Schizosaccharomyces pombe: one gene and its partners. The gene in region 1 interacts genetically with each later gene. Each region holds a gene or a part of one and is shown on either strand. Other genes may lie near its edges. The genes, in order: cdc20, cdc22, cds1 and eso1.

Region 1 (9,524 bases):
AAATTATCGAAAGAATGTACAATATCTTCCAAAAAAGCATTTAGGATGCGTAATTATCAAAAGAGAGATGCTTTATTAAAAACATATATGCTGCTATATAAAAATAAATAAATATGACCAGCAGCAGATAAAATCAAAATAACTTATAAAATACATATAAAGACAAAAAAGCCAAACTCATGCTCATGGTCAGGCGAGAAATGTTAGTTCAGCACAGAAAGTATGGACTGAACAGAATTTTGCAATATAGAAAACTCGTAAAAATCAGCAACAGATTGATAAACGTTTAACATTTCACGAAACTTTGTAGGTGAAAGCTGTAATACCCATTCTCCGCTGCATGAACAGCGTTCCTTTAATGACCATTGCTTAACTGTCTTACATTTAGAACAAATCAAATCTTGCAGTTGATATAATGTCAATTGATGGTATAAGTTATCCACCAAAGTTTCCTCAAACACCCATCGATCGTAAACTAAGTTACAGCTGGAACAAGACCATCCGTCAGAAAACACCAAGGTCCCCATGTCATCGCGAGTAGGCCATAGATGCTCATGTAAACAAAGGTCAAAATCCTGATGGACGCCACACTGCTTACAGGGTATTTGATCAAGTGAAAGTCGACGACTAGGATATCGAAATACCGCCTGAGTGGAAAACTCTTGAATTTGTAAAAGTGACAATAAACTCTTTTTTAAAAAACGGACCTCCAAATTGAGATCATGGGAGAGTTCAAAAACAGCACAGATGCTTTTAACCAATTCTAGAGCGCCATCAGTATAGTTAAGAAAAGAACCTGGCAACTTTGGAAATTTAAGATCTTCTCTGGTATTTTCATCAAGCTGAAGCTCTTGAAAACATCTCCTTACTTGAGCAACTTTCCGTTTAAGAGGATGTATCAACTTACTTTTTAAAATTCCCGATCCAACTATTTCAGAGTCCTCATCAGCATTGTTGTTTTTCACGCGAACAAACCCAACTTTTGTATTAGACTTTTCTAATTTTTGCTTATAAACCTCTTCAATAAACTCAACAATCCAACTCTGAAATTCGGGCTGAATGATTGGAGGTAAATGACTTTTAATGTGCCATGAAACAACTGTCTGTGGTTCTTCATTTGTAGCTGAAAAATTTGCTGCCACCATTTTTCCTCCATAATTAACGGAATCCATCCATAAAAGATAATCCCAGTATTCCGTGACATTTAGATCCAAAAAGTGAAATAGTGGTAACGTCTTAATGGATTTGAGTAAATAATTTGAATAAGTGACAGCGTTCTGGACGATTAATTTGCTCGTTTTGATTAATATTTTATTAGCAGAAGCGTGTATGATATGTGCTCCAAGGCGTTTTATCTCAGAGAGAAGTTGTAAAAAAGTTTTTCTCATTATAACTTCCACGTGCGAGGAGAGTAAAGGACTGTACAGATAAGATTTTGATGAAGAAATCCATCGGGCTAAATGTTGAATTATAAGATCAGCGAGATTATTACCGGATGCAGCTTCGTTCCACCAAGTTTTAACCAACGCCTTCAACACCGGCAATGAATGTGTCAGTCCAATATTATCATGTATTCCCAACTTTTCCTCCAGATCATCATTTATGGCGGTCATGTAATTATCATTCAAAGCTGCCATGTCGCCAATACCTTCTATGTCATTTATGAGAGCAGAATTGAGAATGCTACAAAGTGCAAGGTTGGAAAGAGAAATGTCAACACAAGCATTTGAATAAGCACCAGGATTGTTAACTTCTAGTGGATCTTTGGGACTGGCAATCTGCAGAATACTATCCTTCTCAATACCACCTAAGTCTGGAGTTGGGCCTTTATTCCACCAAAGGATAATATTATGTTCTTTCAGCTTTCTAGAGTAAACAACATCGATACTGTACTGAATGTCATCGCTTTCAAAGTTGCATAATGGGATATCTGAGAAGCGAGAAAGTTGTATGCGATGGAAAAGCCAGCTACCAATAGCTAAGAAATGTTGGATCATTTTCGTAGCAATGTGTTGTTTCCAAGAAAGAGACTGTATGTTGCTCTCAAGCCGTGGTATCATTATATACGGAAGCTCTTCAATTTGCTTCACATTTGCCTTCAATATGTGAGGGAGTGAACTTTCAATAATAAGCAGACTATTTTTAGTTTTAGTTGAAAAATATTGAAGCAACTTTTCATCTATCAGTTTGTACGCTTTCCTTTCGTTTCCCGAGAAAATGACATTACACGAAAGAGTATCAGGGTATTCGATACTACTTTCCTTAATTAAATTATCAAATTTCGACCGTAGCTCTTCGTAAATTTTGCTGATTGATGGGAAAGACATATCACTACCTGGCAGTTTGTCATAAATTATGGCCTCAACTTTTTTTAAATGTGGCATAAAAAGTGAAAAAACAAACCTATTACTAATGGAAAAATGGAATGCATAAAGGTAGTTCATCTCTACTCCATCAAGATAGGAAACATCGTTATCACTTGGGTCAGTGAACATTTTAGATTCAAATCCAAATTCGAAGCCTTTACCTAACGCTCCAGGTACTGAATTATTAAACCTTTTTCTGGATCCCATTTCTAATATCAATCTTTCAATTGGTTCTATACGAGTCTCATATATTCCACTAACAGACGGATGGGCAAAAATCATAGAAATTGATACCTTTTCCGTTAAATAGCTCTTTTCTGGAATTTCAAGTAAAAAAAGCTTATCCGAAGTGCTTCCATGCGGTAATATCGCATTGCTTTTTTCAATTAAGCATCCCTCAATTTCAACATTCGGTAAAGTCTCATCTTTGAAACATACAAAAAACTTTCTATTCACAATGAACCGTATCGAGGTCAACCGATTACGAATAATTACCCAAGCATGTAAAATACCAGGAACATCGGTTTCTCGTATTTGTAAAATATGCCATAAATTTTCAAACATAACTTCAGCAGAAGATTGTAAAACATTGGTGAATTGCCTTGATTGAAACCCAATTAAATGTCTTCTTCGAAGCTTGACCTGCTTCTGATATTTCCACTTTTTCTTAGCATACTTAAGCCAATTCGAATATCCATCCATAAAGGATACAGGTTTTACTTCAAAAGATACAGGTGCTTCCGAGTTCCCAGATTGTTGTAAAAGTTTACGCTTGGTAACTCGAGCGACAATACGCTTATCTTTGTGAGTCACACTTCCTAAATCCTCAATATCAGTAACTTTTGTGTTGTTTATTGTGGATGGATTTGTAGGGGCTAAGGAGAAAATGGAATCGATCTTTTTCTGTTGGTATTTAGAATTCAAGACAGCAACTCGTTTTTGAAGCCAGTCCGGCAATGGAAAACGGGTAACGGGGTTTGAAATCCTTTGGAGAGCAGCAGGGATGCTAATTAGTTTTTGTACTACTGATCCTAGACGTTTCAAATAATAATCCCAATCAATAATGTCTCTAATATCAACATCATATAGACCATTATCTTTCAACCAGAGCCTAAGAAAATGTCGCTTAACAGATTCTTCAGCAAAGAAAATAGCTACCGGTACTGCCCTTTCTGCAACTGGCCTTCCTTTTGGACTTGCGGAAATAATAAAACGACATGCTAGACCTTTGTCTTTGGTCATTTGATCACCCAAAAAGTCAGCCAGTCGCCTGGCTGTAGTAATGGATGTCGATTTTTGGCTTCCGTATTCAGACAAAGCTTTAGACATACTACGATTCTCAGAAATCAGTTCAATTAATTCATCATCTGTTAGGTTAGAGCCTTTGGTGAATAGAATCTCTAACCAAGTGTCAGCAACATAGGCAACTTCTTGATAGCATTCCTCTAAAGAATCACCTTTCAAAAAAACTTTAAATATCTGAGATTGAAAATCCTTAATGAGCTTCAATTCTCCTCTTCTTTTCACCTCAAAGCCTTTAAGTTCAGCTAAACTACCATCGAAATTGAAAACGGCATAACGCTTTTTTAAGTTTTTACCTTCTTCCGTTGAAGCAGGCAAAATCATAGCTCTATAAGGACCATCAACCTCAAAAAAAATGCTGTTTTCACTAGTTGTTTCATACACCAATTTCTCTGGGTCCTTTAAGGCAGAATATTGATGATTGGTGAACTTTTCATGAACCAGGTGATTTAACATAACGCATGGATAAGAGATAAAAACCTTTCCTCCGGATTTCTTTTTAAATTCAAAGTTTTCAGGAAACGATTCTGGAAGAATACACCAAATACCATCTGTGTCAAGTTCCAATGGCCTACCTGCACGTTCAACTATTTGACGAGCCATCTGAATAATCGTAGCGCCTGTCAAACATGTGATACCAGCCATTTCAATCGAATACCAACGGGAGCCTTTTCGCATGACATATCCATAGAAAGAGTTTAAAATAACTTTGTGAGCTAACTGTAAAGAATCGTAGAGTACGACCATCTTTTTGGCCTCCTCTATTTCAGCAAGTCCTCCTTTTTCCTTTATAGCAGCAAGTTGTTTGACCCATTTTTTTTGCAATCCTTTAAAGTCATAACGGCGATCCCTAAAGCTTTTTACCGTATCAATATAAAATGAGTTTTCCTTTTGACAAATTATAGTTTCCCTTTCGATAACGGTATTATCATATAGACGGTGATACACTTTACGGCTGTAATCCGCAATGCGCTTTTGCACCATAGCAGCTTGTTCTGAGGGAGAAAGCTCTTGAAATGACCTAAAAGGTGAGAAAGGGGTAGGGCCTGGAAAACGCTCAGATTGTAAAGCAGAATATATCATATGATATTCACCTTTTTTAGCAGGGTAATACTCCCCTCTCCATGCCCATACCATCCGACGATCACATGTCTTATTGGGCACATTAAGATCGCATGTTGCACAAAACGATTCATCTTTTACTGAATCTGGCTGTAACCGGTTGGTAATCATAATATTTGGGTACATTGAGGCGACATCAAGATGGTAAATCCTTGGCTTCTCCGACCTTTTTGGTCGATCACGAAGGTCACTTAGTTTCTTTAATATGCTGTCTCTAACCTCTTCATAATTTTCGATTTCATCAACATTGACGTTGTTTTCAACTGTTAAAGAAAAATCTAAGGCTTTGTCCAACTGTAAAATTAGTTCTTCATAAACTTTTGGATCCATGTTGAAATTAGTCGGCAAGTCGCTTCTAAAAACACCACTTTCAAGACTTTCAACATGTCCTCCAACATAAGTCTCACTTGCAAGTAAATGACCGTCGAAAAATTTTTGACTAGCATCAACATGTTTATTCGGAAGAATAATATTTTTTGTACAAGCCTCAACAGTTAAAAGCGTTTCACACAACGTACCCGTGCCTTTACGTAAAACTTCATCAGGATTTAATGGGATAATGTTACAAAGAGAAAAAATGAAAGGATGCACATATTTCATGTAAAGAAAATAAGTAGCAACAGCATCTGAAACTGAATATTGAGCAAGAACTTGAGGTTTTTCACTTGCATAAGGAGTCATCAATTCTGGATCTAGTTCGATAGGATTATAACCTAATTTACTGACAGTGACAGCTTTGAGACCTTGACTTCCTTGAGGTAAATAACTATCTCTCTTTACCCACCGGAAGGCATCCATATGACTACAATAAGAAGACTTATATTCATCCTCTGCGTCCCTGAAGAAACCAGTTTCTTCTGTTAAATTCAATCCGTGAAATGCAGCACGTGCGTCTACAAATGGCCAGTCAAAGAAGTCACCATTGTATGTAACTATTACTGAAGGCTTTGCAGACCTTATATGTTTAAAGAATCGATGAAGTAGGCCAACTTCATCAGGCTCATTAAAAATAATAAATGGGCCCTCAAATTCCTCCCTCGGAGTATAATGAAAATCTTCAATATTCTGGGAAATAATTTCTCTATTGGTAATTAAAAATCCTTGGCCATCAATCATATAAGATATCATCATTATTTTATCGAACGAGCTATCAGGAAACTTCAATGGCAGCTTAGTGGTTTCAATATCAAAAGCCATTATAGTAGGTTCTGCACGCTCGATTCGGGAAGCTAAAAGGGATATTTGAACATGGCCTTCATGATATGAAACAGTATACCATTGTCCGACTCGAATATTCAAATCAATAAGTGTACGAGAATGATACGGAACATCGTACTCACGGATATCTAAAACATGATTTAAAGGATCTTCAAATGCGTTTTCTATAATCCCGTTTAAATTCTCCGAAGACAAGTTAGTGTATGCATCAACGGCATCTTGTTGGGAAGAATTAGCTTTCACAGCAGACATCAAAGACTTCCTGACAGCCTGAAGGTCATTCAGGTTATCAAAAACCAACTTTATATACAACTTTTGGTAACCCACTATGTGGTTTTTTAGCTGTAAATCTTCTTTAAAGATACGCGTAGTAGATTTAATTAAGCCCACAAATTTTTTTTTTAAATAATCGTCAACCAAAGCTTCTTTACCTTCTCGAGCAGCAATGTAGAAGTAAGGAGAGTATGGAATGGTACACCGGAAAGTGTCACCATCGTCTTGAATGAAGTAAAAGTCAACGGCACTGAGGGTAGAATTGCCTTTGGTGCTTTCGATTACTGTTGGATGAACGTTGAGAAGCCAAGCTTCTCGTGGTTGTCCACCTTCATAGCTATCAAAACCCATCATTCGATCAATCTCATTCTTTTTGTAGACAATTTTCATAGGATCATTGAAGCCAACTTCCTCGGTTGATTTTGCAAACGTCCTACCGTTCGATTTACTTTTTCCATTGTAGTTACCATTAAATTTCCTAAACTGATATTTGGATGCTCCTCGAGCTGTTTTTAAGGGCATAGCAATACAAAATAAATATTAAAAAAAGAAAGTAAAAAGAGACCGACAGTTTAGTAATTTCCGATTGTTACCAGAGAATTCTAAATTAATAAATGGAATAGTATTAAGAAGAAACTTCTTCTATTGTACAAACATTAGGTATCCTTTTAAATGTGATATAGTGGTTTGGATTAATACCGAGTTAAGAGGCAACAAATTGGTAAACAACAAGTCGCGTCGCGTCGACAACTTGCAAATTATTTTGGGTATCATGTTCCAGTTCAAAGCATTACAATTTATTTATTTTTGCCATAAAATAAAGACAAAGTACAAAAAAATACAAAATTTAGTATACATTAGCCTAATGATCGTGTGTTTCGACCGTAAGTAATTATTTCAAATCGATATTGCTTCCTTTAAGGATTGAATTTAAAGAAAAAAAAAAAAAAAAAAAAAGCAGTTTTCTTTTAGAGAAGCATGGTGACGCGGTTTCTGCTTTCAGTGATATAAATTGTCAAAGCTTGGTTATTTTGGCGAAATATACTATCATAAATGGAAAAGTTTATATTAATTCAAAGAAAAAAATATTGTCTGATTGCTGAAGTACAGGATTAAAGACCCCGCCATAGTAAAAAAACTTAGTAGTGCTTAATTCAATCAGTTTGATACCTTATATTTACCTCTATTCCACCATTAACTGAAAAAGCTTAAACGAATCAGTAACTATGAGTACACCAAATGAACCCGAAAAACCTGGGATTATTGACGCTTTCAAGGTAGAATTTATAGCTTAAAAAGGACTAGTTTGTTGTAAATGCAAGGAATGCTAATACTACTTGTAGTCATTGAAGATGAGTGATTTTGCTCACATGGTACACCATCCTTGTTTTAAGGAATCATTAATCACCAGTGTCGTCTGTGGTCTAGGTGTTGGTTGCATCCATTTGTTTCTTCGAGGTACGAAAAAAAACATTATGCTGGTTAATTGATGTCCGTCAAAAAAAATCGCATGTCTTTTAATTTTCGGACCAACTTTTTAAAACGGTGATTTCAATCCGTTGTTTAATAAGCGGTTTAAATTCTTGCCGACACATGCTAACAATATTCAAGCACCTATTTCTAGAGCTGCTAATTGGGGGTTCGGAACTTATTTTGGAATGAGCATCGTCTCTTGGGAAGGGTGTAATTACCGCAAGCAGCTTGAAACTAATAACTTCAACATTAAAATTACAGAAGCAGCAGAAAAGACCCCGAAGCATCGCTCTTCAAGGTCCGCTCAAGAAATTGATGAAGGTTTTAACGAGTAATTGCATTCATTTGATTCTTTAGGTTCTACTTATTCTTAAGCTCTTTTCATCCCTCTATTGCATGGTATGCTGAGTTTTTCATTTGATCGATTAACTCTTATTCAATTAATATTTTAAATTTGAGTTCATCGGAATGGTTTGTCATTTTTAAATGGTATTCATTGAAGAGTGTGAATTATCACCAAAGAATCCAATGTTGAATTTTTAACTGCCTCGAAGAATTCAATCTTTTTAGGGTGCCATTACAATGGGTGGAATACATACTCTTGGTATCTTGAACGTTGTATTAACAGCAAAAAAGTCTTAAAAATATACAGCATCCACATTTTCCCAATATTAACTAAACAATGGTAGACTTTTTGTTCGTTATTTACTTTATAAGTACTAGCTCATCTCAATCTTTCGTGCGTGTATGTTTACCCCTTTATCGTAAAGTCAGTCTACGACCTTGCGAGGGCATCGCATGATTTCAGCTAAAAACTTTCCAAAATAAAAGTAACAAGACCTTTATGGTGGTTTATTTCTACTAACTGGATGAATAAGCTATGTGATATTTTTGAATGTAAATATGTATTCTTTACGACAATTTTTGTACGATTGGCTAGAAAAAACATTAAAATCAAGTATTTGCAGTCCCATCGTCATTCTTGTTTATTATTTTTTAACAAAGTAGTTTAATCAGGGTAATTTCTTTATTTATAATTATCATCGATGAGATATACTGTTTTTAGGAGGAAAGTTAGTGGCACTTCAGTCGTTTATTAAATATTGTACTAGAAGGAATTGCATTCATTATAGCAACATTTATGTTAGTTATGTAGTCATAAACGATTATTTTAATTCAATTGAAAACTGTGAGTTTCCAGCAATATGGTGATGCTGCACTACGTAACTTTAGCTGTATCATTATTCACTTTATTTATTCGACTAATCTGTTGAATTACACTATTTTTATGTTCAAAATTAGATTCAATTTTATTAATTATATTAATGAATAGATTCAATTGAATATAGTCCTTCAGTTTAATTATGAGCTCTTTGATGTTTATTATATTATCAAAGTTTTAAAGGTAGCCGAGAATAATATTATAGGCAAATTTGTTACTTACTTTTCTTAACAGTTCTATGATAAATCGCAATTCAATGCTTAACGCAGCATTTAGGTTCGTTAAAGTACTTTAAAAATATTACGCATCTAATGACTATTTCATTTTAACAAACTGCTTTAGTTCCACAATAGTGTTATAAAACTTTAACGTGAATGATGTTTTAACGCTGTTTCTTACGTTATTATCGCACGCTATTAGAAGGAGTAAACAAAGTTCTCGTTCACCATACATTCAATACAGTTTATCATGAGTAGGTCATTTCGTAATGGATTCCGCTTGTTGAAGCTTTCTCAAATGGTATTGTTTAAATATTTATTATAAAGAAA
Region 2 (7,540 bases), on another chromosome or scaffold:
TAATTTAACACAGCCCTCACCGCTTCCATTGCTACACCTTTGGCACTATTTGTATTCGATCCAGTAAACAGCTGCCCATCCTCCACAATGAAAGGGTCCTCAACGTATACAGGAGGAGATTCAAAAATGGCGCCAATGTTTTCGGCAATGTGACCAAAACTATAGAAATTAAGACGGTTCATCACATTCAAGACACCATTTTGGACTTCATCCTTCCAAGTGCAACCGGTCACACGGCGGTTCGTACACAAAGCTTGCCCATCAGAATTCGTCGTGTAAGCCAAGGCAATGTTAGCTTGTGCAACGGCGCATATAATTCCTTTTGTTTCATAAAACCGATACAAAAAGTCCTGTACAACTTTGGCATGGGGGAAATCAAAAGAACAGCCATATCCTCCAGGTATATAAACAATCACATAGTCCGAAGGATTCAATCGATCCAGTCTTGCGATATTCTTTAATTTCTTCATCAAAGAGCAATCAGGATTAGAAAATATTGATTGTGTTTCATCCACTATCGCCGGGTCTCGAAAGGATTTATCGTCAAATCCATAATCCCCAGTATCAGACGCAATTACTATGTCAAAACCATTTTCTTCAAATACTTTAAACGCTTCATATAAGTCTACTACATTCACGCCAGTGTTATCTCCATCATCATAAAAAGGGCCATAATAGCTATTCAGCAAGAAAAGTACTTTTGGTTTTTCCGACGTCTCTCCTGCTGCTTCATGTCGTTCATCCATTTTTTAATTCAATTTTCAATACAATTCAATGTCGCAAATTTGGGTTATCAGTTAAAATATCCTCGTTATATTTTAAAAATTAAGAAAAGGGGATATTTATCTGATGAAAAGTTATGTGATCAAACTGTCAGGAAATGTCCCTCAAGATGATTACACGAGTCTCAAAACTTATTATCTTCAAATGCGAGTTATTTTGAGCCTTTCAACGATCCTCTCGAAGCAATTTATGTGTACGCCTCCAGCACGAATCACGATGACATGCTTTTTAATTAAAATTACTACTTACTTTTTAAAATTATTCTACTAAATATAAAAACCTGCATAATGTAATATTGAAGCAACTATTTCATAAAGTATTTCCATATCAAGTTTTCTCCTAATAATGATATTGCTATAAACATCGTACTTCAGTTATTGAAAATACTTTCAACTGAAATGGTTAATTAATTTCGTACGGTTAAAATAATTTGTTTAAGTCATGCATGCTACATGATATCCTGTTTATCAACAATCAAATGAGCGACTTATCTCACTCCATTGCGTGCATTTGGTTTGACTTCTTTAACAAACACGCAGTTGCACTTTTCAAACGATCTACTTGAAAAAGGTAATAAAACACATGCTATAAAGATTTACGATGCCACAAATATTAAACCATTTACCATACCTCAATTTAGCCCGTTAACCAGTGAATAAACAAATACCACCTTACCCGTTTACACAAAATGAGGAACATCAGAAGCACTTACAAATTTTTTTATGAAGTATCTTTATCGAATGTACATCTTCCCTCGTACAAAATTTACAGTCTCATGTCTACAAATATACCACGTCGATAATGCATTGCATTAATCAAGAGACAAAAAGTAACTTATATTATTGGGAGTTTTTAAAACCCCGGAAAACATCAAAATTCCAGAAAATTCGTAATCTAATTTATGTATTAGAACCATTCTGAGCCTGCTCACTAGAATGGAAAACCAAGGTTGAATTTAAGACACAATTATGTATGTCGACAAATGAAAAGAATATTGAATAAAAACATTAAAAGAAACAATAAAATGTAGGATATTAAACATGGATGGGATTTAACAAATCCATTTTTGCAACAGTAAATTAGGCTGAGCACATTTCGCAAGCCTCAGGGTTCTTGATGGAGCATGCGAGCACTTTTTCATTATAAATGTCAATCTCTTCTTTAGTGGGCTCTGCAGAAATTTCAGCCTTTCCATTCTTTATAACTGGCTTCTTATTCTCTTCATTAGATTCTTCATTACGAGCGCGCAAGGCCACAGGGTCGACCGTAAATTTGATAGCAGCAGAAGCAGCCATAGTACGAAGATAGTACATTCCAGTCTTAAGACCCTTCTTCCAGCCATAAAAGTGCATACTAGTAATTTTTCCGTAGGAAGGATCCTTCAAGTGAATGTTCAAACTTTGGGATTGATCAATGAATGGGCCACGGTCGGCAGCATAGTCAATAACAGTCTTTTGACTAATCTCCCATACGGTTTTGTAAAGATCCTTAAGGTCTTGAGGAATTTCAGGAATCGCTTGGATGGATCCATCAAGCATAACAAGTTTGTTCTTCATGTCCTCATTCCACAAATCACGCTCAACGAGATCCTTCAACAGCCATGGATTGACAATTTGGAATTCACCAGAAAGAACACGGCGTTGGTACATGTTAGAAGTATATGGCTCAAAACACTCATTGAAACCAAGGATTTGAGATGTTGAAGCAGTAGGCATTGGTGCTACTAACAAAGAATTACGAATTCCGTGTTTAGCAATCTTTTCCTTCAACTCGGCCCAATCCCAAAGATCGGTGGGATTAACGTTCCACATGTCATACTGTAAAATACCCTGGGATGCAGGAGATCCTTCATAACTCTCATATGTACCCTCTACCTGGGCAATCTCGCAAGAGGCCTCAAGGGCTGCGTGGTAAATTGTTTCGAAGATTTGGATGTTTAGCTTCTTGGCACCTGCAGATTCGAATGGTAAACGAAGAGCGAAGAAAGCATCGGCAAGACCTTGAACACCCAAACCAACGGGACGATGGCGCATATTGCTACGGCGAGCTTCAGGAACAGGATAATAGTTAACGTCGATAATCTTGTTGAGGTTACGAGTAACGACCTTCACGACATCGTGAAGCTTTTGGAAATTGTACTTTCCGTCTTTAATAAATGTGGGCAAAGCAACTGAAGCAAGGTTACAAACAGCAACTTCGTCAGGAGAAGAGTATTCAACAATCTCAGTACACAGGTTTGAGCAGCGAATAGTACCAACATTCTTCTGATTGGACTTACGGTTGCATGAATCCTTATACAACATGAAAGGATTACCAGTTTCAACTTGTGATTGAAGAATGGCGTACCAAACTTTTTGAGCAGGTAATGAACGACGACCACGGTTCTCCTTCTCATACTTTTCGTAGAGGGCAACAAACTCGTCACCCCAAACATCTGCCAAACCTGGAGCCTCATTGGGGCAGAAGAAGGTCCATTGCTCGTTACGTTCAACACGTTGCATAAACAAGTCAGGAATCCACAAGGCATAGAACATTTCGCGTGCGCGGAAATCCTCGTTGCCATGAGTCTTTCGAAGTTCTAAAAAGTCCATAACATCGGCATGCCAAGGCTCCAAATAGGCTGCAAAGGCACCAGGACGCTTATTACCTCCTTGGTCAACATAACGAGCTGTGTTGTTGTAAACACGAATCATGGGGACAATTCCGTTGGAAGTACCATTAGTTCCAGCAATATACGAACCGGTTGCTCTAATGTTGTGAATATTAATACCAATACCGCCAGCGGTCTTGGAGATCATAGCACACATCTTGAGTGTGTCGTAGATTCCTTCAATAGAGTCGTCTTTCATCGTAACGAGGAAACAAGAAGAGAGTTGGGGACGAGGAGTACCGGCATTGAAAAGAGTTGGTGAAGCATGGGTAAAGTAGCGTTGAGACATCAAATTGTATGTTTCAATAGCAGCTTCAATGTCCTCACCGTGGATACCAACGGCGACACGCATAATCATATGCTGAGGGCGCTCAGCAACTTTGCCGTCGATACGCAATAAATAAGAACGCTCTAAAGTCTTGAAGCCAAAGAAATTGTAAGTGAAATCACGATCGTATATGATAGCACTATCTAATTCGTCCTTGTGTTTCATTACGATATCGTAGATTTTGTCAGAGATCATGGGGGCAGGCTTGTCTGTTTTGGGATTTACATAGTCATGAAGCTGTTGAACGACAGTTGAAAACACCTTCTCGGTTTGCTTATGCAAGTTGGAAACAGCAATTCTAGCAGCCAAAATAGCATAATCAGGATGCTTTGTAGTCATAGTCGCGGCAGTTTCAGCAGCTAAATTATCCAATTCAATAGTGGTAACACCGGGATACACACCAGAAATGACTTTTTGAGTGATTTCGACGGGATCAACATGATCGGAATCAAGGCCATAACAAAGCCTCGAAACACGAGCAGTGATTTTGTCAAAGGCCACTTTCTCTTGACGTCCGTCTATACAGTTAGTACATTATTGCTTTTCGATTCAATGTCAACAGTCAGTCAATTTTGAATACAACGCCACCAGCAACGAATCTGTCAGCAATCAACCGAACACTTGGAAGTAGAGCAAACGGCTAAAAGAACATTTGCTTAAACATCTCTGCACACAACAAACAGTGAATACTGAATGACACGCTTAAACAAATAGAAAAATCTCAGTTTCTTTAAACATTTACTCCCCAGTAAAATCACGACATTTTTCGAAACGGCAACGTTGTAACAAAATTTCTACTAATCTTCTAACTGTATTTTATTTCCTGTTTCATACCTCTTTTGTATACAAACATCGTGTTTGTTCTAGTTTGTAAGGTGGTAAATACCGGGAATATTTATAGTAAATGAAAAACGCGTTCAGACGCGTCACGCTAATATAACGTGATGCCGCGTCGCGTCATCCGAACTTTAAGTCATGTTGATCAATGTAAATAAATAAAGCTAAGAGTGGAAACCGGATCATTTTTGTAGCTCTACTATATCTAAAAGACGTTAATTAAGACTTGCTAAATAGATTTATCTTTTTCACTTCTGAACATCAAAGTTCCGCTAAAATAAGTCCGACTTTTAAAAATTAAAAAAATATTTTTTTAAAAAAACGCGATTAAACATGTTGAAGTGGTCTGACCTGATACAATACATTCAACTGTTACATTTATCTTTTATTAAACATAAAAAAAGTGTTTATAAATACTCTGTTTACGACTGAATGTAATAAATTAAATATTTATTTACGCGTCTCAATTGCAACGCGACGCGACTGTTTACATAAATTAAACACGCGGTCCAACCCGACTACCAACCTGCTCTATGAGATTGAACTACTAATTTCTCTAATATATCTAGATATCAATTTCCCCTTGTTCTTTATATTACTTTTTGATGTTGTCAATTACCTGTTGGAGAAGATCATAACATACAATTGATAAAGTATTGTTTCCTTGATTTATAAATTGTAAAGCTAAGTTGAGTTAGCTTTTTTGTTAAGACCTCTCAACTTTTAGATTTAAGATTTTGATTCCCATTTCTGTTGTAATATGTAACCTTACTAATGCTTTACATTAAAGCATGAAGATTTCGACTCTGCATTTTACTTATAAGCACTATAAAAGGTACACATAGAGATAGACAAACAGCTTTTAGTAGCTACAAAAACTTTGTTCTTTTCCCTTTAATTCACTATTTGCTCCCTCGCAATTATCCTTTTTTTTAGGTAAAGTCAACAATGCTTATATCTTCATCTGATAATCTTGCCTGTAGACAGAGTGAAAATCAAATGGTAATACAAATGCATAGATAGAATAACAACGGTCACCTTCAAAACATGAAATTGCAAACATTGGTATGCTTGACGTAAAGAGAATGAGATATAAACAGTGTGCAAATTTCCGCAAAATACAAAATGTTTAAACCATCAACTACGGCTATCTGCTACTTCGACTATCAACGTGTATAAAAATACCAAGCGCCTGTATACCAGCAAGGTTATCAACAGAGATAATGTCGCTTCAATTTTCTACAATAATTCTAGTGCAAAATTGGAGACCCAGCTAAAGTTCCACGATAATAAGCAATTACGTGCTGTGAGAAAGCTTATAAAATATTCGGGTTTTGATCGAGTTTCAATCGAGGTGTATATTCTTTAAATTACCGATTTATAAAAATTTACCAAGTCCTTTGACTAGGTAGAAAGGATAATAATGATGGCAATCCTTAACAAAAGAAACAAGGTATTATAGGAAAAATAAAACCATGCAATAACAAGGCAATAAGGGAAATTTTCTTCAAACTAATAGCGAAGAGTATAGCAAAGTAAGCAAAGACTGAAAACAAGACGCATACTCCTTGCAGGTGCCTATACGTTGCAGAACAGTGAGGGGAAATGGTAGAACAGCTATATGAAATGCGCTTAAATCATTGCCAAGCTGACTAAATGGCACGACTTGAGGTAAGTAAAAAGGAAAGAATGAGAGGATATAATGACTATGTAACATGATAGGCCACACAATGCAAAACTCCCACCAAGGTGAAGGTGAAATAAAAATCAACATAAGTCGAAAAAATACGGAAACTTGTTGAATGTGCTTCGACTGAAGAGATGTATAAAAACAGAAAAGATAAATTCTCTAAGTTAAAAAATTTGGAAACAAGCTGTTTACAACAAGATACAACGCTTCTTCTTCTTAGTTCCACTAGAGGGCTTCACTTTGGGCTTGTGTTTGAGCATAGCAGCACGAGTGGCTGATTCAAAAACCTCACGAACACCTTCATTCGTCTTGGCAGAACACTCAAGGTATTTGTAAGCACCAATCTTCTGAGCTACTGCTTGACCTTCTTCTGTGGTGACGGGATGCTGATTAGTCTTGGATAACTCCTCAATAATTTTTGGGTCGTTACGGAGATCAGCCTTGCAAGCGACAAGCAAAATAGGAAGACTGGAACAGAAATGGAGAACCTCGGAAATCCATTTTTCTTGAACATTGTCAAGAGAATCGGGAGAATCAACAGCAAAGCAAATAAGGATAACATGTGAGTCAGGATATGACAAGGGACGTAGACGGTCGTAATCTTCTTGTCCAGCCGTATCCCAAAGAGCCAACTCAACGTGGCGTCCATCAACCTCAACATCAGCTACATAATTTTCAAAAACAGTGGGAACATAGACCTCGGGAAAGGTTCCTTTAGAAAATACACTATAAAGAAAAATGTTAGAAGTTGTATAACAATGACACAGACTCGTGAAACATTGCAGATAAGCAAGCAAAGAGTAAGTAGAAATACAGGGTACGGAGTGCAAATTAAATCCTCGGAACATTTATTAAATGTAATCTAAACCCCATCTAAGTCTCATTTCTATGGGGATTCTTTCATTATTTTCTTGAGGCAATGAACATGCTTACGGAAATAATTTTCTTCTCCAGCCATGCTAAGCAAGAGATGTAAACCCTTGCCAATTTAAAACAGGCCCAAGCAACTACTTTACCCTTCTACTACCTTTCCGACGCTTGCACCATTTTTACTTACATTAATAAGCATGTTTTACCACATGCACCATCTCCCACAATAACGAGCTTTCTGCGAAGTTCTGTCGCCATCCCTAGATTTGTTTACTTTCTCCTGCTCTAGACAGAAAAATTTCGACGTAAATAAACGTTTTTCGACTCAAATTCTGACACCGCTCTTTCCTTCGATGTGGCAGTGGTTAGCTATTTACTAGGC
Region 3 (6,157 bases), on another chromosome or scaffold:
TTGTGCACTTAAAATGTACGTAGAATGACTTTCAACAACTTCTACTGGACGTTCAATATGCTTAGATAAAGAAACAGTATTTTTCTCTTCCATTCTTCAAAACTTTTGGTACCAAATAAGCTAAAACTACAACTTCAATGAATATTGAAGGTATCCATGCTAAGAGTATAGGGTAAATACTAAGTAGCCGTTTTTTTATTGTTGATCAGCGTGAACAAGATTGCCAATTTTCAATCATTTATAGCCCAAATATCTTAAGACCACTAGAATTAGGCTCCGATACAGCATATGCTAAAATATGTTTTGTTGGATGCCAAGCTACCTTGTTCAGAGGTCCATTAGTTGGAATTTTCCAAATTTGATCACCAGTTTTCGTATCAGCCTTCCAAGTTAGTTTATTAAAAAGAATAAAAATAAGAAACGGTTTCAAACATCCTGAAATACTTACGATATCCACATAGCGGTCCTCTGATCCACTAGCTAAATAGCGACTGTCATAACTAAAGCTTAATGTACGGATGGGATAACTTTTTAGAAGTTAGCGACCAAAAAATTTAAAAGAAACTACATACTCCATTCTAGTAATCGACCGTTCACAAATCAGTTCTTGTGGATCCCATAAACTAGTAATTGCATCTGCACCACCAATGGCAAGGTGCCTGTTATCCGGACTGAATTCAATACAGAAACAATTTGAGTTATGCGCCTTTATATCGTAAACTCTTTTTAGAGAAGGCCATTCCATAATTTGCACCGTGCCAAGTCCTGTAGTCATGAAAAACAAATCTTCACTGAATGACCAACAGCATTCATTTGTCTATTAATCGTAAGCAAAGTTATTATTGGTTTAAAAACAAACCTCACAAGGTTGTTGGAATGTCTCCATTATTCTTCTTTCCCGAGCATCAATAAAAGACAACATATCATCCTAGCATTCAATTAGCAATCGTGCGTTATAAAAACTTAAAATATTCTCGTACCCGACTACTAGCACAGCAGTAATTTCCACTTGGACTCCAGGTTGCATAAATATTCTCATAGTTGCTTTCTATTTCAGCGATAGGTTTGGCGCCTGAATAAATAGTTAACAAACAGTCAAAGACTTCATTGCATACTTCTAAAGTCCCAGAAACGGATCATTTTCCCAGCATACACAGCCATTAACCGATCAGAATGCGTAGGATCCCATACTAGTTGTTCGACAAGACCATATCCTCTGTTCCCTAATTCAGTAGTAAATTTAAAATCCAAACGATCTGAATTCCAAACAAGTACTGATCCTGAAGATGAAGAACTCGCAAGTCTCGAGCCGGAAAGATTCCAGCCTAGGGAACGTATAGGTCCCTGTTGCCCTTGTAAATCTCGAGTTTTCAATTCGGGAAACTTTGGCTAAAAAGAAAAAAGAAAGTTTTAGTATTTTATGCTCTAGTTTTTATAAATCATTAACATACAAGCGATTCTGTAACTGAAGCACACATGGCAAAGATCGCGTCGAGACGTCCAAAGGGATAGTAGTACGTGGACAGAGTGGTTAGTGTAAACTTACTGTCTATTTACAATATTATAAATTTGACGGTCTAAGTATAAAAATTAATTATCATTTAGAATACTAAATATTAATAATCTAACTCGAAGAATTGAGCTGTTCGGTGGCCTCATGTTCAGACGATGATGGTGGAGTACGATGTTCGTGTGTGCTCACAGTGTAAAACCAAGGATGCTGGAGAGCTTCACTTTCAGATATTCTTTTCTCTGGATTAATTTCAAGCATCCTGTTGATTAAATCGATTCCCTCTTCTGAAATTTCGTTTTCTAATAAAGGCTCTATCGGATATGCACCTTTTGATATCAACTCAATACATTTTGCTTGTGACGAAGATGCAAAAGGAATAGACGCAGTAAGCCTGTGAATTAGTAATTGGAAAAAATTAAGGCATGAAGGTTCATTGCTAATTGATTAAAGCCGACAAACTTACATCACATATAAAACACATCCCAAACTCCATATATCAACTTTATCATCATAACCTCCGTCCAAGTTGACGTTTTTTGACTTCAAAACTTCCGGTGCTAGATAACCCATTGTCCCGCAAAATGTTTCTAAAAAGGTTCCCGTCCCATGAATAACTTTAGCCAAGCCAAAATCAGATATTTTAAGATGGAAATCATTTGTTATAAGAATGTTCTACAAGTTAGACTTTCTTATCAATAAACAAGATATACCTCGGGTTTTATGTCTCTATGTGTCACACCCTGCTTGTGCAAATGTAAAAGCGTTTCTAAAAGTTGTTTGAGAAGAGGTTTACAGTCTTGTTCGTCGATGGAGCCATTAGCAATTAAAAAATCCATAAGATCCCCACCCTCAACATATTCCATAACAATAAATAACTCGTCATCATTTTCAAAAATTTCATGGCATTGTACAACTCCTGGCTAAAAGATAAGTGTTAGCTAGGAGTTTTTCGTATAAAAAAAGGTGAACATAAAATGATACTCACATGGTGCAAAGATTTTAATATATCAATTTCTCGTTGAAACATTTCAGTAGCTCGCTTTTCCGAACTTGTCAAAAGGATTTTTCGTTTGTTGATAATTTTAATAGCATACCACTTGCCACTATTCACTTCTACCGCTAGCTTGACAACTGCAAATGTACCACTTCCAAGTGTACGAATAATTTCGTAATGACTGTTCTCGGATTTAATCATGTTTTTCTGGGAATCTCGTGAATGTTTAACTGGTACCTGGCACAAAAAAGCTATAAGACTGTAAGCAAACTTGAAGTGAATTCTACGTCAACAATCTCCTTCAGTGTAAAGGACGTACAAATTTCATCTTTCGGCACACCTAGGCCAATTCGAATTTCATCTCCGTTTGACAAGATAGTTCTACTATTCTTGGCAAGCCGTTCCTAAATGACGTCAGTAAATTGTAAACGAATTAAGCTCTCGCTTACAAAATTCAGAAATGTTCCATTAGAAGAGTGGTCTGAAATTGTTAGAAAAGGTGGAAGAGGCAGAAGACTTTAAAAGATTTTTTAATCCTTTAGACTTACCGTGTAAAAAAACGACATTCTCAGATTCATCGGAATCATTTCTATGCCCCTGGGTCATTTCGTTAGATAATTATGTCTTAAAGAGATTGAAGTTCAATTAAAACTAAACGAGTTCAGCTGGCCACTATTATTTTATATACCTGATAGATTTCAAAATGAAAGTTGCTAACTCTAGGTCCGTTTAAAACCACTTCACAAGATTTATGACGTCCAAATCTCCAAAACCCATTGTGCACATCTGTAGTAAGAGGAATCACTTCTGTCTTACCATCAAGCATGCGAGTCATAACCAATTTCATAAATACATTTTCGTTGTTAACCACCTGTTTGGCTATGTTCTGACTAACATGTAGTGGTGCCTCTTGAGTAGCCTGCGTAGCTTCTTCTGGTTCTTCCATAGTATCTTAAAAACAGAAAAACTGGATGAATTCTTTAACCATGTATATCAGTAAACACAAATAAACGTGCAAATGAGTGATCAAGCTTTTAACAGAAGTAAAAAGACCAAAGAAGCAGTTATCATGTCAGACGAGGGCTTATGATTTACTGACTTCGCTTTAAACATCGTTATAAATTTTACGATATAAAATGTATCATAAGACAATAATAACGAACTGTTGCAATACCAGATTTTTCGCGAAGCACGAGTAATATAAACAATGTTTCATCCACCTACTTTACTGTACGTTATACGTAGTGAGGATTAAATGTTAATTGTTAAGTAGTAGTAATCCCTATTTATATTTTTTTGGTATACGTGAAGGTTGCCATCTGTCAACATTCCTTTGTATTTCAAACTTCGACTTCCGCGATTGAAGACTTTGTTCTACGGCATTAAATAGTTTTCTGATCTCCTTAATTGTTACCATTATTCAAAAATCTTCTATACCAAAGCAAGGAATAAGAAATATAATGCTGATTCTTGGTTTAACCGGCTCAATTGCCACGGGTAAGTTATCAAATAACAATTGGTTTAATAGTGGTTAACCTAGTTAAGGGAAATCTACAGTTTCTCGCGAGTTTCAAGAGAAATATCATATAAAAATTATCGATGCTGATGTGTTAGCTAGAAAGGTGGTAGAACCGAATACACCTTGCTTAATAAAAATTCAGAAAGAGTTCGGTAATGAAGTATTACATGAAGATGGCACTTTGAATCGAGCAAAGCTTGGCCAGGCAGTATTTCAAGACGCAGGAAAGAGGTCACTTTTGAATTCAATAATACATCCAGCAGTACGTTTGGAAATGCTCAAAGAACTGCTTCGATGTTACGTACGGGGTTACAGCATAGTTATTTTGGACGTTCCTTTGCTTTTTGAAGCTAAAATGCAATTTATTTGCTGGAAAACGATCTGCGTGTCTTGCGATAAAAGCATTCAAAAGCAACGTTTGCTGGCACGTAATCCTGAGCTTACTGCAGAGGATGCTGAAAACCGAGTACAAGCGCAGATGCCTCTTGAACTTAAGTGTCAGCTTGCGGACATTGTAATAGAAAATAATTCGGATCTTGAGACCTTATATGAAAACATACATAATGTCCTACCTTTAATCACACCTTCCTATTTTTTTACCTTACTATGTTTAATTCTACCGCCATTGCAAATAACTTTACAAGTTATTGCCTTTGTCTCGCAGAAGAAAAAGGTATCTGAATTCAGAAAACATATATAATCCTTTTTTCCATATTCTTTAATTTCCTCGTTTGTTATTTAAGCCAATAGTCTTAATGTTTTTGCTTATAATTAGATCATTTTCATAACTTATCTCAATATCTTGCCTCGAGCTTTCTATATAAATTCACGAGTATATGTTTTATCATGATTTGAAATGAGAAATTAAATCTTTTCATGCGCATACAAATAGCTGAACACTACAATAATGATTAATGTAGAGGTTCTCGCTTAGATTTCTGGGTTTTAAATAAGAAATCGATTGCGTTCCTTCTTTCATTGTCTGTATACTTGGGTATTGAACTTGTATTAATCAATCTTTGCTACAATGCGTGACTTATATTTATGTCAAAGAATAATTAAATTTTTTTTGTTAGTTTCGTTGGGTTAGCTAATTTTTTGATTGATATATTTGTTCACGTATTTACAATTTACATGTTCGCATCCACCATCACTTGAACACCTTGTCAGTAAGTGTTCAGTAGCCAATTTTCTGGCAAAATGGAATCTGGATCTATTGATTTGGATAAGGGTGAGTCAATTTAGTCATTACAATTATGCTAACTCCATGTAGAGATAGATGAATTGAGCAGGGTTTTATTAGAGCATCCTGCTCATGTGGAAAAAGTTTTAAAGACCGTTGAGTTCGATAAATCTGCCCTTCGTTATATTGATGCAATTTTAGATCATCATTTGAAGCAGATATATCGGAATTTGACATCCAATTCTCCTTTGCATACGCTTTCTCTACTTCAAAAAATGGCATCTTGGAATAATGGATTGGCATGTGTTCGTGTATTCCAAGCTATTGACTGGAACAGTAAAATTTTTATAAAGATGCTCCAGCTACCTAATCAAATTCAAAATTCTAGGAAAGGAAATAAGCGTCTCAAAATCACTATATCAAAAAAGCGGTCCTCTTTACTACTTCTTTTCATTACATTCCTTAGGCTTGGTACACCAGAAATTCGACTGGAAATATTAAATTCAAGGAAACTAACTACTCCTTTGTTTAAAGGTATATACAATGATGAGCCTTCGGTTCTTAAGGAGCTACTTCAATGTTGGCTCACTTATGTGTTACTAGATCATGATGTTTCTAGGGCAACAAAATTATCTTATTTTAATGAATGGTCATTGTCATGCTTAGCTTCTCTTTATTCAAGAGATGATGAAATTGATGGCATTTCCTTATGCAATCTTGTTCATAAATTTTTTGTCGATGCTTGTACAGTACCTGGTGAAGGGCTTTGCTTCGTATCAAATGGATGGCATTTACAGAAGAAGGTGGATGGACAATCCAAAACTATTTTTAATCGTGTCTTACAGTCATTTGTTTTTTCATTGCATGTTCATACAAGTACTTTACAGCGGGAATTAGTCCTTAAAATATTAAAGGCTTGTCCAGATATTACGGCATCATTTATAGAAA
Region 4 (7,310 bases), 1.0 Mb from region 1:
CACACCCCCATGAGTTTTTTTCTCTGCAGCTTCGTTTTCAAAGTCAAAAAGCATGGGATAACTGACATTCAGGCGTGCTAATAGTTAATTAACAGATTTAAAAGGCTTAATAAATTCTCTTCGCATTACGTACATAGTTTTTCTAAAGCTGAAGGTGGTAATATTACTAGACGTAGTTGTTAATACTAATAATCCCCAATAACAATATAAAAAATATTGAGCAGAGAATGTTAACCATAAGCAAATGCGCAAGCAAGCGCTCAAAGATAAAATCACATGAACTTCATGAGTATATAAAATCAAATCTCCAACAATGTGAAAACTTAAAAGTATTTTCAAACCTTACCTTTCCCACCATAATTGACATTTGGCCGTTCCTCACCAGGAATCATGGCAACAGGATAACAGCGGTAACGAGTATCAAATCGCTGATTTACATTATTATGAAAAGCTGACCGAAGTTGAGACATCATGGAGAAACCATCATCGTCGCTTGAGAAAAAGCTGCCGCCAAACTAATACGTGAGTAAGTCAACGTACGCATTCTCTAAAAAAACCATACCATATTTGCTTTTTTTGCGAAAAAAGGAAAGAGTAACTATGGTTCTCCCAATTTTTTATAATGCAACGTAAATGTTGTAGTGCAAGCAAAATACACTTGATGACTGAAAGAATTTGGCTATGTACAGCATTCGTTGACGCAAATGCCACTATTTGGGACCAAGGCAAGAAGTTAGTTTACGAAATTTAAGGAGGTTCCTCAAGGTCTTTAACTGTTTATAAAATAGTACCTTGTAATATGTTATCTGAGCCTACCATATGTGAAGCATAGCTGTACTATCTTGATATTTCATGAAATATCAGTGCAATTCTCGTTAAGCTTTACAGTGTAGTTTTGGATAGATACGTTGTAAAATTGGGTCATATTCTTAAATGTTGTCAGTTGATCAGTTGATTATAGTAGCTCAACAAGGACCGTGGGTTTCTTGAATAATTTGTGACAAAAGTTGTGCTAGTTCTTTAGACCAGAAATTGTTGGTGTTCATGAGCTAAAACTTCACCAACACCAAACTCTGGGTACAATCTTCACTGTACATTCGTGATTAAAGAATAATCGATTGTTGAGTGTTTAATATCAGTTGTTCAATTCAAAGGCATTCCCAAAGCAGGAGACAGTATTGTCTACATTAACAATGGCTTATCTTATTGATATACCATTTGAATACTTCTCTTCTTTCCTTGGAGTCCACCCGGATCAGCTCAAGTTACTGTTTTGTTTTCTTTCAGCATACCCGTTTGCCGGCATACTAAAAAGACTTCCTTCGGCTCCATGGATTAGAAACTTATTTTCAATAAGCATAGGTTTATTTTATCTCATTGGTGTTCATCATCTTTACGATGGCGTTTTAGTTTTGCTATTTGACGCTTTGTTCACATATTTCGTGGCCGCGTTTTATCGATCGTCACGAATGCCATGGATCATATTTATAGTAATCCTTGGCCATACATTTAGCAGCCATGTTATTCGGTACATTTACCCTTCAGAAAATACTGATATTACTGCTTCACAAATGGTACTATGTATGAAGCTTACAGCGTTTGCCTGGTCTGTTTACGACGGTCGTCTTCCTTCAAGTGAATTATCTTCTTATCAAAAAGACCGCGCGTTGAGAAAGATTCCTAATATCTTGTATTTCCTTGGATACGTATTTTTCTTTCCCTCATTACTTGTTGGTCCAGCTTTTGATTATGTTGATTACGAAAGGTTTATAACCCTTTCTATGTTTAAGCCTTTGGCTGATCCTTATGAAAAACAGATAACACCACACAGTTTGGAACCAGCCTTAGGTCGTTGCTGGCGAGGTCTGTTGTGGCTGATTTTATTTATTACCGGAAGCTCAATCTATCCTTTAAAGTTTCTACTTACACCTAAGTTTGCTTCCTCCCCTATTTTGCTAAAATATGGATACGTTTGCATAACTGCTTTTGTTGCAAGAATGAAATATTATGGCGCATGGGAACTTTCTGACGGTGCATGTATATTGTCAGGCATTGGTTATAATGGCCTGGATTCTTCTAAGCATCCTCGTTGGGATCGAGTGAAGAATATTGACCCTATTAAGTTCGAATTCGCAGATAATATCAAATGTGCTCTTGAGGCTTGGAACATGAATACCAATAAATGGCTTCGAAATTACGTTTATTTGAGAGTTGCAAAGAAGGGAAAGCGTCCAGGGTTCAAAAGTACGCTAAGCACATTCACTGTTAGTGCAATGTGGCATGGAGTTTCTGCTGGATATTATTTGACTTTTGTTTCCGCAGCCTTTATCCAAACAGTTGCAAAATACACGCGTCGCCATGTTCGCCCATTTTTCCTTAAACCAGATATGGAAACTCCTGGGCCTTTTAAGCGAGTCTATGATGTTATTGGTATGGTAGCAACAAACCTCTCTCTCTCCTATCTAATTATCTCTTTCCTTCTTTTGAATCTAAAAGAATCAATACACGTTTGGAAAGAGCTATATTTTATTGTGCATATATATATATTGATAGCTCTGGCTGTGTTCAATTCCCCAATAAGGTCGAAATTAGATAATAAGATACGATCCAGAGTCAACAGCTATAAACTAAAAAGTTACGAACAATCTATGAAATCCACTAGTGATACGGACATGTTAAATATGTCGGTGCCCAAAAGAGAAGATTTTGAAAATGATGAATGAAGGATTAATTTGCTATGAGGTAGCATCATATGCAATAAATTGAAGCATTTGAATATTTTGCAGCTTTGTTAACAGCAATTTCATCTTAATTGTTCATCATATACAATACCTTTCATGGCGGCAGTATATTCATTGTGTTTATATATATGTTTACATATTAAAGTAGTCTCTTAAATAAAATTCCTGAATGTTTTCTCTCAATTCAGTTTTTAAGTTTAACATCTAATTTCCTTTGATGATTTATTTTGGTTACAACATTATGAGAGTTTGAATTTATTTTGCTTTAGTATCTGGTAGTAGGTAACGTTGCTATATCTAGTACCTTAGTCCACTAAATTCAACACGAACGCGCTATAGAACTTGAGCGATTCTTATTAAAGAACTTTTTTGAGGGTATGAACTGAATGGAATTAGGCAAAAGCAAATTCTCTTGGAAGGACTTGCAATATTGTGATAAAGCAGGTACACAAAATTCACCGTTAAGGGTTGTAGCTCATATTGATCAGGATGCTTTTTACGCTCAAGTCGAAAGTGTTCGCCTAGGATTAGACCATTCAGTTCCCCTTGCTGTTCAACAATGGCAAGGGCTTATTGCTGTAAACTACGCAGCCCGTGCAGCGAATATTTCACGCCATGAAACAGTTACTGAAGCAAAAAAGAAATGTCCAGAGCTTTGTACCGCTCATGTAAAAACTTGGAAAGCTGGGGAGTCAGAGGCTAAGTACCATGAAAACCCAAATCCTAACTACTATAAAACCTGTTTAGATCCTTATCGGCACGAAAGCGTTAAGATTCTTAACATCATAAAGAAACATGCGCCTGTGGTTAAGAAGGCTAGTATTGACGAATGTTTTATTGAACTTACGAGTGATGTTAAACGGATTGTGTTGGAGGAATATCCTTACTTGAAAATTCCCTCTGAGGACTCAAATGTTGCTTTGCCGCAGGCTCCAGTGCTACTATGGCCTGCTGAGTTTGGAATGGTCATTGAAGAAGAAGTTGTAGATAGAACGAAAGAAGATTATGAAAGGGATTGGGATGATGTTTTTTTATTTTACGCTGCAAAAATCGTGAAAGAAATTCGCGATGATATATACTTGCAACTCAAATACACGTGCTCAGCAGGAGTTTCTTTTAACCCAATGCTTTCAAAGCTTGTCAGCTCGCGTAATAAACCAAACAAGCAAACTATTTTAACGAAAAATGCAATTCAAGATTATTTAGTGTCATTAAAGATTACTGATATAAGAATGCTGGGCGGAAAATTTGGAGAAGAAATAATTAATTTATTAGGAACAGATTCTATTAAGGATGTTTGGAATATGAGTATGGACTTTTTGATAGATAAGCTTGGTCAAACTAACGGTCCACTCGTTTGGAATTTGTGCCATGGAATTGATAACACTGAGATTACTACACAAGTTCAGATTAAATCAATGTTGTCGGCTAAAAATTTTTCTCAGCAAAAAGTGAAGTCTGAAGAAGATGCAATTAACTGGTTTCAAGTATTCGCATCTGATCTTCGATCACGATTCCTTGAACTTGAAGGAATGAGAAGGCCCAAGACCATTTGTTTGACTGTTGTATCAAGATTTCTGAGAAAGTCAAGGTCAAGTCAAATACCTATGAATGTTGATATTAGCACTCAGTTTATTGTTGAAGCAACATCCAAACTGTTGCGTCAACTGCAACAGGAATTCGATGTATATCCGATTTCAAACTTATCTATTAGCTTTCAAAACATCATAGAGGTTGATCGTAATTCTAGGGGAATTGAGGGTTTTTTAAAAAAGTCCAATGATGAAATCTACATGTCTACTTCTGTTTCACCTTCTATTGAGGGACGCGCTAAATTATTGAACGAAAATATGAGGGAAAATAATTCTTTTGAATTATCTTCGGAAAAAGATATAAAGTCACCTAAAAGGTTGAAAAGAGGTAAAGGTAAAGGGATTTTTGATATGCTACAACAGACCGCTGTTTCTAAACCAACGGAGAATTCAGCTGATGAAACTTACACGTGTGAAGAATGCGAACAGAAAATTACTTTATCCGAAAGAAATGAACATGAAGATTATCATATAGCTCTCTCCATTTCGAGAAAAGAACGCTATAATAACTTAGTACCGCCATCCCATGATAAACCTAAGCAAGTAAAGCCTAAAACATATGGAAGGAAAACCGGTAGCAAGCATTATGCACCTTTATCCGATGAAACAAACAACAAAAGAGCATTTTTGGACGCATTTTTAGGAAACGGTGGAAATCTGACACCAAATTGGAAAAAGCAAACGCCAAAAGCAATTTCCAACAGCTCAGACAACATGACCCAGTTACACTTAGATTTGGCTAATTCCACCGTAACTTGTTCAGAATGTTCTATGGAGTACAATTCAACGAGCGAAGAAGATATTTTGCTTCATTCTAGGTTTCATTCTCGGGTTCTAGGAGGTGTTACTGTGTCCTTTCAATGCTCTCCTATTTATCGCGTTAACTATGGTTTGAGTTCCGATTGCATATACAGCATAAATTCAGAAAGCTCATTAATTGATCAAAGAAAAGCAGAGGAAGCTTTATCTTTCGTAAATAACGAACTTTCAAGTGAGCCTATTGAAACAATTGGGGTAGATAAATATACCACATTTCTATTCATATCAGATAAGAAATGTGTCGGATTACTTCTGGCAGAGCGTATATCTTCTGCATACATAGTCGATGAACTTGAACTCAACAACAACAATAGCACCTCTTCCGCAGTATATATAAAAAACGAAAATCTACGAAAGGGGTTTGTATTGGGTATTTCCAGGATTTGGGTATCAGCTTCAAGACGCAAACAAGGGATAGCAAGTTTACTATTAGACAATGCTTTAAAAAAATTCATTTACGGTTACGTTATATCGCCTGCAGAAGTTGCTTTTAGTCAGCCTAGTGAAAGTGGTAAACAGTTCATTATTTCGTGGCATCGTTCTCGAAACAATGGTTCTTCGAAGTCACTTCGATATGCTGTTTATGAAAGTTGAAAATAGTCTGACAAAATTAAAGTTGTTCTAAATATCTATCTAAGCGTTATATAGAAGTTTTTTTTTTAAATTATTAATTAATCATTAATGAAAACCGTTTTGTTTAACGAAATGTTTGGCTTTGCCTAATGAATGATGCTTAAGGGCATCTATTACAACTGGGAACACTTCCTCTTTAACATCCTGGCCCCATAGAAAGTCAAGATGTTCATAATGAGCAATCTAACTTATATTAGCATATTGAGCAACAAACCTATAAAATAAAAGGCTTACCGAAACTTCCTTTGCATGGGGAGGAAGAGCAGTTCTCATTACTTCCATATTGATCAAAGTATCTTTACCTCCCCATAGTATCAGCATTGGGCATTTGATATTATTCGTAGGAAACAGAGGAACTTGGTAATGGCGTGAACCATATCCAGCTAGAAGAGCCATATCGTCGTCATAAAGCTGGAAAGTACAGTTTTTTATAATCTGAAGCCAGTGAACAACACTCTTTACACTTGAAAAAGAGTAAAGATGTGCATAACCGCAAAGTTTTTGATTAAGAGAAATGTTGGATAGGTCCCAGTTGAATAAAATTTTAAGGGATACATCGACAATTTTTACAAAAATTGGGGGATCTGTAGAGTAAGCAGATGAAGTTGAAATTTAAAAAAAAGAAACATACAACATATATTTTGCCAAAAAGTGACTGAAGGTAAAAGACAACGGCGCCCAAAAAGATGATACATAATTTTTGGATTAACTTTGACAATATAGTCAACGAAGTAATTTGAAAAGCCTTTGGGAGCATAAGCAGGCGCTAACCCTATGAAAATATTTACTTTGTCATTCAAATCCGGATTAATGCTAAGTGCAGCCATTGCTTGAGCAGTTCCTTGAGAAAAGCCAATATAGTTTAGTTTTTCTCTTCCTGTTTCCCTCAAGATGTAATCAACAGTATCGGGAATATCAAACATGGCCATATCATCTAACGAGAAGTTCCAAAATTCTTCGTCCTTCGGTTTGTAAGTAATGTGTTTCCTGCTATACTTGTTTCCTCGATTGTTGCCCAACTAAATGTATTGTTAGTCAACGCCAAATATATCCTACGAAAATCTAATGTAAACATTTGCCCTTCTCATATTTGTTAAATCAATAGCTTTTCTTTACGCGTCTTCAACAATAGCTCGGGATAGAGTCTTGATCTGGCAAGCAAATAACTTACCCAAACATCATATCCAGATTCAATTAAAACAAAAGGAAGACTTCTCTCGGATTCATTAACTGCAACCCATAATTCAGAATTTGTCATGAGCCCATGGTGACAATAAACTACTTCACGCTTATGTTGGCTTTGCTTAGGATGTGTAATTCTATGTAGACATAGTATAAAGTTGTCTTGAGTTCGCACAAGGTGTTCTTCAACCCGATACCCAAAGGCTTCGCATATTTCATAAATGTTTCGACACTTTTGAACCGCATCGGTCATTCCATCCGTAGTTTTAGAGCTTATGTAGTAATGATACAGAACAATTATACGTACACGAAACCATTCCCTGACTCGCTCAGGTATCATGTA

What was found.
Region 2: mutations in cdc20 (region 1) and cdc22 are lethal when combined (synthetic lethality), as found in Schizosaccharomyces pombe (one study listed by BioGRID).
Region 3: mutations in cdc20 (region 1) and cds1 impair growth when combined (synthetic growth defect), as found in Schizosaccharomyces pombe (2 studies listed by BioGRID, with this or other methods).
Region 4: of cdc20 (region 1) and eso1, a mutation in one rescues a mutant of the other (synthetic rescue), as found in Schizosaccharomyces pombe (2 studies listed by BioGRID, with this or other methods).

Annotation. Positions count from the first base shown.
Region 1 is NC_003423.3:3,251,168-3,260,691, reverse strand, and holds the start of cdc20 (DNA polymerase epsilon catalytic subunit Pol2), read right to left. Parts: upstream 6,971-9,524; 5' UTR 6,804-6,970; coding exon 204-6,803; 3' UTR 1-203. Other genes in the region: respiratory chain complex IV assembly protein Cox20, read left to right, coding at 7,508-7,558, 7,625-7,739, 7,893-8,089; mug16 (UNC-50 family protein, implicated in vesicle-mediated transport), read left to right, coding at 9,445-9,495. UniProt on the Schizosaccharomyces pombe protein: DNA polymerase II participates in chromosomal DNA replication.
Region 2 is NC_003424.3:4,224,056-4,231,595, reverse strand, and holds cdc22 (ribonucleoside reductase large subunit Cdc22), read right to left. Parts: upstream 4,627-7,540; 5' UTR 4,615-4,626; coding exon 4,596-4,614; exon of another isoform or gene 4,280-4,595; coding exon 1,863-4,279; 3' UTR 1,607-1,862; downstream 1-1,606. Other genes in the region: hsp3105 (ThiJ domain protein, glyoxylase III), read right to left, coding at 1-746; Rho family GTPase Rho1, read right to left, coding at 6,477-7,014, 7,346-7,416. UniProt on the Schizosaccharomyces pombe protein: Provides the precursors necessary for DNA synthesis. Catalyzes the biosynthesis of deoxyribonucleotides from the corresponding ribonucleotides.
Region 3 is NC_003421.2:737,778-743,934, forward strand, and holds cds1 (replication checkpoint kinase cds1), read right to left. Parts: upstream 3,562-6,157; 5' UTR 3,454-3,561; coding exon 3,196-3,453; exon of another isoform or gene 3,105-3,195; coding exon 3,056-3,104; exon of another isoform or gene 2,989-3,055; coding exon 2,957-2,988; exon of another isoform or gene 2,912-2,956; coding exon 2,827-2,911; exon of another isoform or gene 2,759-2,826; coding exon 2,499-2,758; intron 2,434-2,498; coding exon 2,224-2,433; intron 2,186-2,223; coding exon 1,977-2,185; exon of another isoform or gene 1,905-1,976; coding exon 1,625-1,904; 3' UTR 1,584-1,624; downstream 1-1,583. Other genes in the region: protein Thc1, read right to left, coding at 1-93; THO complex subunit Tho3, read right to left, coding at 239-382, 449-527, 573-817, 860-928, 981-1,072, 1,116-1,389, 1,452-1,478; cab5 (dephospho-CoA kinase), read left to right, coding at 3,968-4,004, 4,053-4,726; ribosome biogenesis protein Urb1, read left to right, coding at 5,227-5,257, 5,300-6,157. UniProt on the Schizosaccharomyces pombe protein: Has a role in the DNA replication-monitoring S/G2 checkpoint system. It is responsible for blocking mitosis in the S phase.
Region 4 is NC_003423.3:4,275,409-4,282,718, reverse strand, and holds eso1 (mitotic cohesin N-acetyltransferase/DNA polymerase eta Eso1 fusion protein), read left to right. Parts: upstream 1-3,065; 5' UTR 3,066-3,127; coding exon 3,128-5,746; 3' UTR 5,747-5,830; downstream 5,831-7,310. Other genes in the region: Hrd1 ubiquitin ligase complex subunit Ufd1, read right to left, coding at 1-77, 134-166, 347-515, 563-565; ale1 (MBOAT family O-acyltransferase), read left to right, coding at 1,194-2,723; SPOM_SPBC16A3.12C (triglyceride lipase-cholesterol esterase), read right to left, coding at 5,831-5,968, 6,020-6,369, 6,417-6,804, 6,957-7,310. UniProt on the Schizosaccharomyces pombe protein: Probable acetyltransferase required for the establishment of sister chromatid cohesion and couple the processes of cohesion and DNA replication to ensure that only sister chromatids become paired together.